Sus scrofa: one gene and its partners. The protein of the gene in region 3 purifies or fractionates together with the protein of the main gene of each other region. This does not show direct contact. Links are inferred from orthologs where the notes say so. Each region holds a gene or a part of one and is shown on either strand. Other genes may lie near its edges.

Region 1 (3,648 bases), on a different chromosome or scaffold from region 3:
AGAAGCCCAACGCCGAGGACATGACGTCCAAAGATTACTACTTTGATTCCTACGCTCACTTCGGCATCCACGAGGTGAGTCCAGACTGACTGACCGCTCCTAGGGCCCCTGAATCTTCACGGGGTTCGTGTTTGGTGGGGGGGGGGGGACTTAATTTCTAAGGCATGCGTGCTGCCGGGGAAGGGAGCGGGCAGTCCCTCCGCTGGCTACTCACACCCTGGGGGTCGACGCTCCCAGCTGTTGCCTTGGAGACTGAGGCGAGGCTGGCACTGCGCCAGCCGGGCCAGCTCAGGGGCGCGGGTGGGAGTGCGCATGTGCGCTGGGGACTTCAGCCCGAGGTCGGGGCCTGCTGGTCTCTGCCGCCCCCTAGTGGCCGGTGGTGGGACTGTCCGCCAGCTCCTCGGACTCAGAGTGCGGGCTGCCTCTAGACGTTTTTTTGCCTGCGGTGGAGGCTGAGGTCCCAGAAATCACCTAGGACCGGGATGTGTTTTTCTTTTCTTATTGTGATTAAAAAAAAGTGCATAACAGTTTGCCATTTTCACGTATACAGCTCAGTGGCATTAAGTTACTGAGGACTTTTTAAAGCCAAGGACAGCAGGGACTCAGGGCAGTGGTCCATCTGTAAAGATGGGAGTTCAGGAGTTCCCATCGTGGTGCAGTGGAAATGAATGTGACTAGTATACATGAGGATGCGGGTTCGATCCCTGGCCTCGATCATTGGGTCGGGAATCCGGCGTCGTTGTGAGCTGTGGTGTAGGTCGCAGACGCAGCTCCGATCCCCCGTGGCTGTGGCATAGATTGGCAGCTGTAGCACTCATTCGACCCCTAGCCTGGGAACCTCTGTGTGCCTCGGGTACGGCCCTAAAAAGCAAAAAAAAAAAAAAAAAAAGGTGGGAGTTCAGTCCATCCAGTCTGATTTTACAAATAGGGAGATGGAAGCACGTGGAAGGGAAGTGACTTGTTCAAGGGAGTCGAGGAAGCAAGTGCGAGAGCCAAGCTCCAGTGCTTCAAACGGTGCGCGTGTTGGAGGCCGGGGCACCCTGTTTTCCAGCTGGGGATGCAGGCTCCCTCAAGGTGTCTTTGTGCTCCCCCCTTCCCAGGAAATGCTGAAAGATGAGGTGCGCACCCTCACCTACCGAAACTCCATGTTTCACAACCGGCACCTTTTCAAGGACAAGGTGGTGCTGGACGTGGGCTCGGGCACAGGGATCCTCTGCATGTTCGCTGCCAAGGCCGGTGCCCGCAAGGTCATCGGGGTGAGTGTCCTGGGTGGCTGGGCGGGCCCAGGGACGCCAAGGGGACCTTGTGGAGCTCAGGGATTGGGAGGGGGTGGGGGCTGAGGGTGGCACTGGGGGGGTCTCTCACCCTCCCTTCTTCCTGGGCCCCCAGATCGAGTGTTCCAGTATCTCTGATTATGCGGTGAAGATCGTCAAAGCCAACAAGTTAGACCACGGTGAGCCCAGCAAGAGAACGGGCGTGGGGGGAGGGAGTGGACCATCCCCGCTTCCCTGGGGTCCTTGGCAAGGCGACAGGGGCCACTGAACTTGAATTCCTGCCTTCCTCCCCCATGGGCTCTGGGCCGCGGACAGCCCGAGAATTCTGCCTACTCAGAAATGAGCTGTCAAAGTCGCCAGCTTAGTGCCTCGATTTTTGGTGGTTTTTTTTTTTTTTTTTTTTTTAAAGGCAGAGCAAGAAGCAATCTTTAGGGAGTTACCTGGTGGTCCAGGGATTAGGATTTGGTGCTTTCACTGCCGTGGCCCAGGTTGGATCCCTGGTCTGGGAGCTGAGGTCCAACATCAAGTTGCTGCACGTTGCAGGCCAAAAAAATTTAGTAATAATTTCTTTTAAAAGAAAAACAGTCTGTAGTTTTTTCACTGAGTGGTAGAATTCCTTGGTTGACCCCTGAGGGCCCGGGGTGAGAAGCTTCCCGTCTGCCTCGCAGTTGTCCTTCTCGGGCTTCCGCCAACACGTCCTTCCAGAGCCGTCTGCCTCTATGAGCAGGTGGACTTGTGTTTCTACATTCACTGCATAATTTTTTATTTTTTATCAGGTGTGTATTTTTGACACAGATAAACTCAAGTTTTTTTGCCCTTTTTTTTTTTTATTTTATTTTTGCTGAAGTATAGTTGATTTACAGTGTCGTGTTAGTTTTAGGTAGACAGCGAAGTTGGATGTTTTTCTTTTGTCTTTTGTTGGCTGCCCCACACTAGATCCCTAACCCACTGTGCCCAGCGAGGATCGAACCTGTGTCCTGGTGCTCCAGACACCACTGATCCTGTTGCGCCACAGCAGGAACTCCAACAGCAAAAATAGATGTATACACCTTCGTCAGAGTTATTTTCCTTATAGGTTATTAGAAAACATGGAGTTTAGTTGCCTGTGCTGAGCAGTTGGTTGTCTTTTTTTTTTCTTTTTTTTTTTTTCCCCCTCTTTTTAGGGCCACACCCATGGTGTATGGAGGTTTCCAGGCTAGGGGTCCAGTCCGAGCTACAGCTGCCGGCCTACGCCACAGCCACAGCAATGCCAGATCCAAGCTGTGTCTGCAGCCTACATCACAGCTCACAGCTACGCTGGGTCCTTAACCCGCTGAGCAAGGCCAGGGATCGAACCTGCACTTCTGCAGGGACCAGAACCGCTACAGTCAGATCCTTAATCCACTGTGCCACAGGGGGAGCTCCCTACAGCAGCTTTCCTAACCAGATTCCTAGTGATGAGCATTTAAGCTGCTTCTGAGACTTTCATCCCTCCGCATGTACTGTCATTGCCATCTGATAGACGAACTGGTATAGCTGTGAGGTCACTTTTTGAGAGTAGGATTGCATGGGTCAAAAATGAGGAAGGAGGGATTCCCCTTGTAGCTCAGCGGGTTAAGAACCTGACATAGTGTCTGAGGATGCAGGTTCAATCCTTGTCCTTGCTTAACAGGTTAAGGATCTAGCTTTGCCAAAAGCTGCGGCATAGGTCACAGATGTGGCTCAGATCTGGTGTTGCTGTGGTCGTGGCCTTGGCTGGCAGCTGTAGCTCTAACTCAACCCCTAGCCTGGGAGCTTCCATATGCTGTAGGTGGGGTCATAAGAAGGAAAAAAAAAAATGAGGAAGGAGTTCCCTGGTGGCTCAGCAGGTTAAGGATCTGGCATTGCCACTGTAGTGGCTTGGGTCACTGCTATAGTGCAGGTTCAATCCCTGGCCCCATGGTATGGGTGTGGCCAGAAAGAGTAATGTGAAAAGGTTGGGAAGATGGTGGGTTTTCCAGACACGAAGTCTCTTGGCATTCTAGAAACTGAAGGGACTTTTTTTTTTTCCCAAGAGGCTGGTGTAAGAAAGCCTCAAGGACCCATCACATTAGTTTTAAATACCTCCATTTGAAGCAGGTTCCAACTTTGTAATAATACCTGCTGTTTGTACCTCTAAGGCCATTTGAAAACCATGACGTTGGAGTTCCCTGCTGGCACAGGGGGTTAAGGATCCAGGATTGGCAACTGCTGTGGCTCAGGTTTGATGCCTGGCCCGGGAACTTCCTCATACCTCTGGTGCAGCCAAATAAATAAATAAACAACATGACCAAACGATTATATACAGGCTGGATAAACAGCAAGGTCCTGCAGAGAGCCGTGTGTGATATCCTGTGAGAAACCATAAGGAGAGGGG
Region 2 (3,246 bases), on a different chromosome or scaffold from region 3:
AGCCAGGGGTTAGGACGGCATTCTCATGGATACTAGTCAGTTCTTAACCTATTGAGCCACAACGGGAACTCCCAAGGAGAAATACTCCTAAAAAGTAAACCAATTTTGACTATCCTTTGGTTCATCTTCCTAGTTAAACAAGTGCCAATCTAGTCTACTTTCAGGTATGGCAGAACAGACTACAATATTTAACACTGGAAAAGAATATAAAAATGGGAGTTCCTGTCGTGGCGCAGTGGTTAACGAATCCGACTAGGAACCACGAGGTTGCGGGTTTGATCCCTGCCCTCACTCAGTGGGTTAAGGATCCAGCGTTGCCATGAGTTGTGGTGTAGGTCGTAGACACGGCTCAGATCCCATGTTGCTGTGGCTCTGGCGTAGGCTGGCAGCTACAGCTCCGATTAGACCCCTAGTCTGGGAACCTCCATAGGCCGCAGGAGCGGCCCAAGAAATGGCAAAAAGACAAAAAAAAAAAAAAAAAAAAAGAATATAAAAATGAACAAAATGTTTCAGAATTACAGTTTGGGTGGAACAGCCTTATTTAGACCTAAATGTTCACAAACCAAGATCACTTTGGATTGTGAACATTAAGGAATCCATCAGCTTGCATGCTATTTTCCAACTTAAAGTAGTAATAATGCCTTCTTTATGTTAACTGCTACTTGAAAATGAGACAATTAAATGTTAAACACATGAATAAAATCCCTAACTGCTGGCATAAATATTTTAGCCTAGTGTATGGCCAATGAATGCAGGTTTACATAAGAATGGAAGCTGTGGATCTGAGCAGGGAAATTAGCCGGGGTCTTTTTTTTTTAACTGATACCAAATGGTCTTCCTTATTAGGAAGGAGGTCCTCCTCATTAAAGTAACCAAGGATGCAAATGTCCCTCTCTCTCTAAGCAAATGAGAGAAGCCCACATCTTCAAAAAGCTGTTATCTTACTCTTAAAAAAACTTATTAAAACAAAAAAAACCAAAAACCTTACAGATCAGAGAAACGTGAAGAAATTTATACTCTGGCTTCAAATATATGAAATACAAACCCTCCATGGGAGTCCCTGTCGTGGCTCAGTGGTAATGACCCTGACTGGTAACCATGAGGTTGTGGGTTCAAGCCCTGGCCCGGCCTCAATCAGGGGGCTAAGGATCCGGCATTGTCATAGGCTGTGTGTAGGTCGCAGACTCGGCTCGGATCCTACATTGCTGTGGCTGTGGTGTAGGCCAGCAGCTGTAGTTCAGATTCGACCCCTAGCCTGGGAACCTCCATAGGCCACGAGTGTGGCCCTAAAAAAAAAATAATAAATAAACCACACAAATCCTCCGTGTATGAATTTTATAATTAATGCATGGTCAGTTTGTTCTGGGCTTAACAAAGTACACTTTTATTTATTCCATTCTCTATTGGTTTAAAAATAATTAAAAACTGTCCTATGTCACTGCCAGTTAAACTTAATAAAACCAACGAGTCCACAACAATTAGCAAACCAAAAACGAACTCAATTCCTTGTCTGAAGAGTAACAGGCCAGGTGCACAATCTTTAATTAAGGAGAGGAGCAGGATGTGCTGTCATAGGAAATGTCATGGCAATAGGAGACCTTGCCAGAAATAATTCTGGAAATCTTACCTCTCTTGATTCAAATATCAAAGTCATACGGACAAAATGGTCCTAAACCATGTATTTGATTCTAAAAGTTTTCAGAGGCCAAAGTTCACATTAGAGATAAAAACAAATAGCTAGTTTACAGTTTTCCAGACAATTAAAAACTATAGGTTACCATTCATTTCTCTTTTATACTATCTGAACTACTGTAGCTGGAATTATCTATAATAAATAATTATTATAATATATATAGTTGTACATTAACACATAATTAGTCTTTGTATTGCTTTAATAAGGCAAATATGAGAAATCACTTTAGCATGCTAGATGTAGTTTCTGGTTTACATTTAATAGCACAAAGATGAAGGAGTTCCTGCTGCGGTGCAGTGGGTTAAGGAGCTAGCATTGCTGCAGCTGCAGTGGAGGTAGCAGCTGTAGCTCAGATTCAATCCCTGACCTGGGAACTTCCAGATGCCACGAGTGTGGCCCAAAAAAAAAGAAAAAAAAAAAAAAAGTCATGAAAACAGAATAATATTGAGAGTTCCCGGGATGCAGCAGAAACGAATCCAACCAGGAACCATGAGGTTTCAGGTTTGATCCCTGGCCTCGCTCAGTGGGTTAAGGATCAGGCATTGCCACGCTGTGGTGTAGGTCACATAAGCAGCACAGATCTGGCGTGGCTGTGGCATAGGCTGGCAGCAACAGCTCCTATTAGATCCCCTAGCCTGGGAACTTCCACATGCTGCGGGTGTAGCCCTAAGAAGATAAAAGACAACAACAACAAAAAAGAATATTAGTTTTAATCCAAAGCAAACTGCTTTAGGATAAAGACAATAATGGAAAAAAAACTAAGAAAAGGATTATTCAGTTTAAGGAACCAAGTTCTCAGTGCAAAGTTGATTCATACTGTTTCAATTAGTAAAGTTCTTAAGATTTTAGCGTCCAGCTCTATGTTGCCAACTTAATTTATGAGCCACATGTATAAGAAATATTAATTACTATCTTCTAGGCAAAATGCAAAGATCGGTGTCAGGCACAGTGAGCTCCCAATATCATAAGTCACCTCAAACAGACGAACAAATAATAGAAAAATACAATTTAAGAGGTAGAGTGGCTAATACTTACACAAGGCAGCTGAGGTCTGCCAGATCATCGATAAAATCAAACAACTGACTGATATCATATGTGATAGAGGGGCTGTTGGGATTCATTCTCTTCAGATGTTCTTCATACATTTTACAAACACCTAAGAGAGAAGGGAAAAAAAAATCAAGACCTTATAATTATATGAACTTTAGATATGAGTGGTGTTATATGGTTATATAGTATTTCCTCTTATAAACTTGGGCTGGGAAAACAACAGTTAAGTTGACCACTTGTGTTGTAGTTGTTGCCACTAGCAAATTTTTAAATAACACCACACTTGAGAATAATGGATGACAAATGAATACTTTCCCATTCTACTTTCAAATTTTGACACAATGTGGAGTTCCTGTTGTGGCTCAGTGGTAATGAACCTGACTGGTATCCATGAAGATGTGGGTTCAATGGCTGGCTTTATTCACTGGGTTAAGGCCAGCATTGCCATGAGCTGAGGTGTAAGTGACAGACGCAGCTTGGATCTGGTGTTGCTATGGCTGTGG
Region 3 (4,302 bases):
TCTTTCATTAAAGGCTCCTCTCTCACCAGCCACCAGCTGCTGTCTCTGGTCCTTCAGGGTTTGGAAATGGGTGGGGAAGTGAAGGCTGTTCACTCCCAAATTGCTTTATTTGGGGAGGGATCTTATTTTGGAGAAAGATCAAGGAACCATTACATCTTCCTACTTAAGGAATGCTCAAGGCCCAGAAAGGTAGAGGCTCAAGGTTCCAGCTGGAAGTGGCAGAGACATCAGCTTTTCAGCTTTGAAGCCAGAAAAATTGCCCTTCAACTTTCGAAGAATATGTGCTGAAGACCTACCCCGTGCTAGACATTGTGTGGAAACTGGGAATACAGCAGTGAGCAAAACAAACACAACCCTCACTGTCACATAGGTGAAGTCCAGTAAAGGGTGCCAAACCATTAAACATACACGTATAAATGCTAGGAAGGAAAATGAAAGGATCTCATGCGCCTTTAAGAGAGTGGAGGTGGAACTGAGGACATGTTCATTCACTCATTCTTCCAACATCTGAGCCTTTTTTTTTTTTTGGTCTTTTTTTGCTATTTCTTGGGCCGCTCCCACGGCATATGGAGGTTCCCAGGCTAGGGGTTGAATCAGAGGTGCAGCCACCTGGCCTACGCCAGAGCCACAGCAACGCTGGATCCGAGCCGCGTCTGCAACCTACACCACAGCTCACAGCAATGCCGGATCGTTAACCCACTGAGCAAGGCTAGGGATCGAACCCGCAACCTCATGGTTCCTAGTTGGGTTCCTTAACCACTGCGCCACGACGGGAACTCCCATCTGAGCCTTTTATTGTGTGCCCAGGTATAAGGAAAATGCCATATAGGTCTGCATCAAAATCCACATGGAAGCTAGATGGAGGGAGAAGACATTGGAATAGGTTGCGGGGACGCAAAGCTTCCCCCAAATAAGAATTTAACAATCTTCAGGCCAAATTGGGAAGGGAAGTGAAGAGAAAAATATGGACGGGCAGTGGTGCGTGGTGCAGGATCCAGTGAGGTGTGCTCCCTGCACTGGTCCCCAGGTGCGTTTATGGCAACCCACAACTCTAAAAGGGGCGTATGCTGAGGGGGGAGCCAGCGCAAATTACACCGGCCCGGTGGCTCTCGGAAGAAAGACCGAGTCATGTCGCGTAAAGAATTTTAGTCGGTCTGCCTTAGCTTTAGGGGTGGAGGGACCCGCAATGAAATACGAACTTCTTTTCTTAAGAGGACCAAATCCGCCTTGAACGTCCCAAATCACCAACTTGCAGCCGCCTTAAAACCCAAGAGAGAATATATTGGCCACGCCCCTTCCCGGGTGGGGCTCGGAGTGTAATACAGCCTAAAGCCCCGCCTTTTCCCTGGAGCTCCGCCTCATCCCCCGCGCAGGCGTAACACAAATTTTCCCGCCTCCTGCGCTGTGCGCAGACCTGACGTCTGACGTAATGGCGTCGACGCCATTTTAGCCGGTCCCATTCCGCACTGGGCGTGGCGGCCATTTTGTTTTGGAGAGCGAGCGGGAGTTGGCGGCAGCGGCTGTGGTGAAAGGCAGGAAAGGGCACGCCGGGCGAGCAGGCGAACCGGCCGACCGGACAGCCACCCAGCATCAACGAACTAACCTAGCATTCTACCGTTTAACACATACAACCAACCGCCCACCAAGTTAATCCGAGCCCCTCCACCGTCAACTCAGGTTCGGCCGGCCCCCGGCCAGCCTGTCGCAGCCGTGGTGGCAACCCCGGGAGGAGCACTGGCGTCCGTTTCCTTCGGTACGTTTCTGTGGTGAGAAGGAGGGCAAAAGTCTTGGGGAGCGCCCGGGCCCGGCGGTCGTGGAGTGGGAGCTGGTGGGATGTGGAAGCAGATTGGGTGTCGGGGAGTGGAGGCCCCGGGAGGGGGCGGAGCCCCTGAGAGGGAGGCGGGGGAGGCCCCGAGCTGGAAACTCGCTGCTGGAGGTTGGGATTTGGTAGGAATAGAAAGGAACATTGCTGGGCGGGTTGAGCAACGTTGGCGGTCCCGGACGGGGCTTTGAGATGGGAGTTCAGAGGAGGACTACACGGCTTTAGGGAACGTCAGAATGCACTGGCAGCTGTAGAGTTAAATTTTGTGGCGTGCTCTCTGGGATCGAACTCCCAGGTGAACGCCCATTTAGGAAACCTTTCCTACTCCATCCCTCCCCCACGTCCCCAGTCCCTTGCTAAGGTTCCTGCAAGACTTTGGAGTTGAAAGCCAATTTGTAAACTGGTAAACCTGTATCATCTCTCTAGAGCAGTGGTTCTGAATTTTGGCTGCACATGAGAAGCAGCAAGTTAGACACCACCCCCCCTCCCCGCACCACCTTCTAATTGCTGATCCCCAGACCTCACCAGCAGAGATTGTGCTTTAAATGGTTTGGGCCGAAGCTTCTGTATTTTGTGTCTGTCTTTGTTGTTGTTTTGTCTTTTTAGGGCCGCATATATAGAAGTTCCAAGGCTAGAGGTCGAATTGGAGCTGTAGCTGCCGGCCTAGACCACAACCCACAGCAACGCTAGATCCTTAACCCACTGTGCGAGGCTAGGGGTCCAACCCACATCCTCAAGGATGCTAGTTGGGTTTGTGACCGCGGAGCCATGAAGGGAACTCCTGTTGTTGTTTTTTAAAGCTCCTTGCAGCCAAGGTAGAGAAGGACCGCTCTAGATGAAAAGCCAAACACTTTCTTTGGCTAGGTCTAGGTCTGCCATTTTTGGAGGCTTGGGCAGGTATTTTCTGTCATGTGGCCTTGAAGTTTATTAATTCCAGATAACTTAGCTTCTAAATGTAAGCACCTGAAATGAGTTTTGGTGTGATCTTCAGTAGTCATTGAGACAGGCCTATTCATTCATTTTTGGTTTGGGCCTTTGGCCCTGTTGAAATGAGGTAGTCATCATTCTGATTTGCTCACTTTGCCCATTGTCTTTTGTAGATTCTCGGGATTTGAAGATGGCTGCACAGTCAGCACCGAAAGTTGTGCTAAAAAGCACCACCAAGATGTCTCTAAATGAGCGGTGAGGCAGCCAACAGCAACTTCAGCTCGTTCATAAGAAAACATTACTTAAGTTGGCCCTGGGTCCAATGCACAAAAACCAGTTTTAAGCTAAATACCAACAGAAGGCTACAGACCTCTGTTCTTAGTAGCATCTTATGTGGTACACAAAACAAATTGGGCGGTTGTTTCAAAACCACTTATCAGTAGATTTTTATGTTAAGCTGTCTGAAATATTTCTCTGGTGGGATGTATTTTAAAAGACTCCTCACACCCTCCATTTTCTTCACATTTTTTTTACATTGATACAGGGGTGGTGCAGCTTGGTAGCATGGAACCCCGGCTGCAGTAGGCTTGCTGCCCAGTCCAAGGCCAGCAGTGTTGTGTCTGGCCTGTAAGAGGCAGGTAGCAAGCTATGAATATGTCCAAAGGCCCTTGAATGTCATTCTTGGACCTTGTAAGAGGCACTTGCTTTGCTCCATTTCACTTTCTTTCCATTCTGCTTTTAGTTTGTTTTTGTTTTGGATTCTTTTGCGCTTAAGTGTTCTTCTCTTTCATTCCGTTAAATTCGACAGGAATAATAGAAGAGTGTCTTCACAAGAGCCTCAATGATTGAACTAATCTTAACTTTTCAGAAGTAATCAACTTGGAGTCAGAAAAAGTAATCATTTGAAACTAAGAAAAGTTAAGGTATTTAAAGGCACTTTCTGTCTCTGAGGGCCTTGTTCCTTGAGTGCCTTTGACAAATGATTTTATTAAGTTGCTGTTAAACATAAGATTTACTTGTGTTTGTCTGCCTTTTCTGAAGCATATGTGCTTCTTAGGGCACGTGGTACACTAATTCTTCATATTCACATGTTACTGCGTGAACCACTTATGAAAAAAATGTGATATACTCCTGTAATTTATGTGGATGTATCATTTCCATAGGCTTTGAAGGTGCTCTAGTCCGTCCTTATATACGCCCTTAAAATGCACCCTCAGGTCCCAAAGGATTTGGCTTGCTTTGTCTGTCTTTGAAACTACATCTTCTGTCTCTTGTCATCATATCTGCTTATTGCGTGTTTTTCATGCTTTCTATCTCTAAAAGCCGTTACCTGAGCCCTTGTTATCACTTTTGATTGAATGTGCTACACTTAGCTGCATTTCTGAGTTTCTGATTCTTGCAAGTTTGTGGAAGCGGAGGAGTCTTTAACCCACATCAGCCTTGATCTAAGTGTACCGCTTTACTTAAAGTTCGTGGGATCTGGAGCTCCTGGTCTAGCAAGCCATGAAAATGCCAGTAAATGTTTTGTAATAAAGCTTTTATTTAAACATCCA

Evidence for each region. The genes of interacting proteins can lie anywhere in the genome.
Region 1: the proteins of CHTOP (region 3) and PRMT1 purify together in Homo sapiens (affinity purification with western blotting; 7 studies listed by BioGRID and IntAct, with this or other methods). This does not show direct contact. The link is inferred for Sus scrofa from reciprocal best matches to the Homo sapiens genes CHTOP and PRMT1.
Region 2: the proteins of CHTOP (region 3) and ERH purify together in Homo sapiens (affinity purification with mass spectrometry; 3 studies listed by BioGRID and IntAct, with this or other methods). This does not show direct contact. The link is inferred for Sus scrofa from reciprocal best matches to the Homo sapiens genes CHTOP and ERH.

What each region holds. Positions count from the first base shown.
Region 1 is NC_010448.4:54,721,794-54,725,441, forward strand, and holds part of PRMT1 (protein arginine N-methyltransferase 1), read left to right. Parts: coding exon 1-74; intron 75-1,100; coding exon 1,101-1,256; intron 1,257-1,389; coding exon 1,390-1,453; intron 1,454-3,648. UniProt on the Homo sapiens protein: Arginine methyltransferase that methylates (mono and asymmetric dimethylation) the guanidino nitrogens of arginyl residues present in proteins such as ESR1, histone H2, H3 and H4, FMR1, ILF3, HNRNPA1, HNRNPD, NFATC2IP, SUPT5H, TAF15, EWS, HABP4, SERBP1, RBM15, FOXO1, CHTOP, MAP3K5/ASK1, MICU1 and NPRL2.
Region 2 is NC_010449.5:93,070,811-93,074,056, forward strand, and holds part of ERH (enhancer of rudimentary homolog), read right to left. Parts: intron 2,850-3,246; coding exon 2,729-2,849; intron 1-2,728. UniProt on the Homo sapiens protein: May have a role in the cell cycle.
Region 3 is NC_010446.5:96,002,756-96,007,057, reverse strand, and holds the start of CHTOP (chromatin target of PRMT1 protein), read left to right. Parts: upstream 1-1,443; 5' UTR 1,444-1,753; intron 1,754-2,922; 5' UTR 2,923-2,939; coding exon 2,940-3,004; intron 3,005-4,302. UniProt on the Homo sapiens protein: Plays an important role in the ligand-dependent activation of estrogen receptor target genes. May play a role in the silencing of fetal globin genes.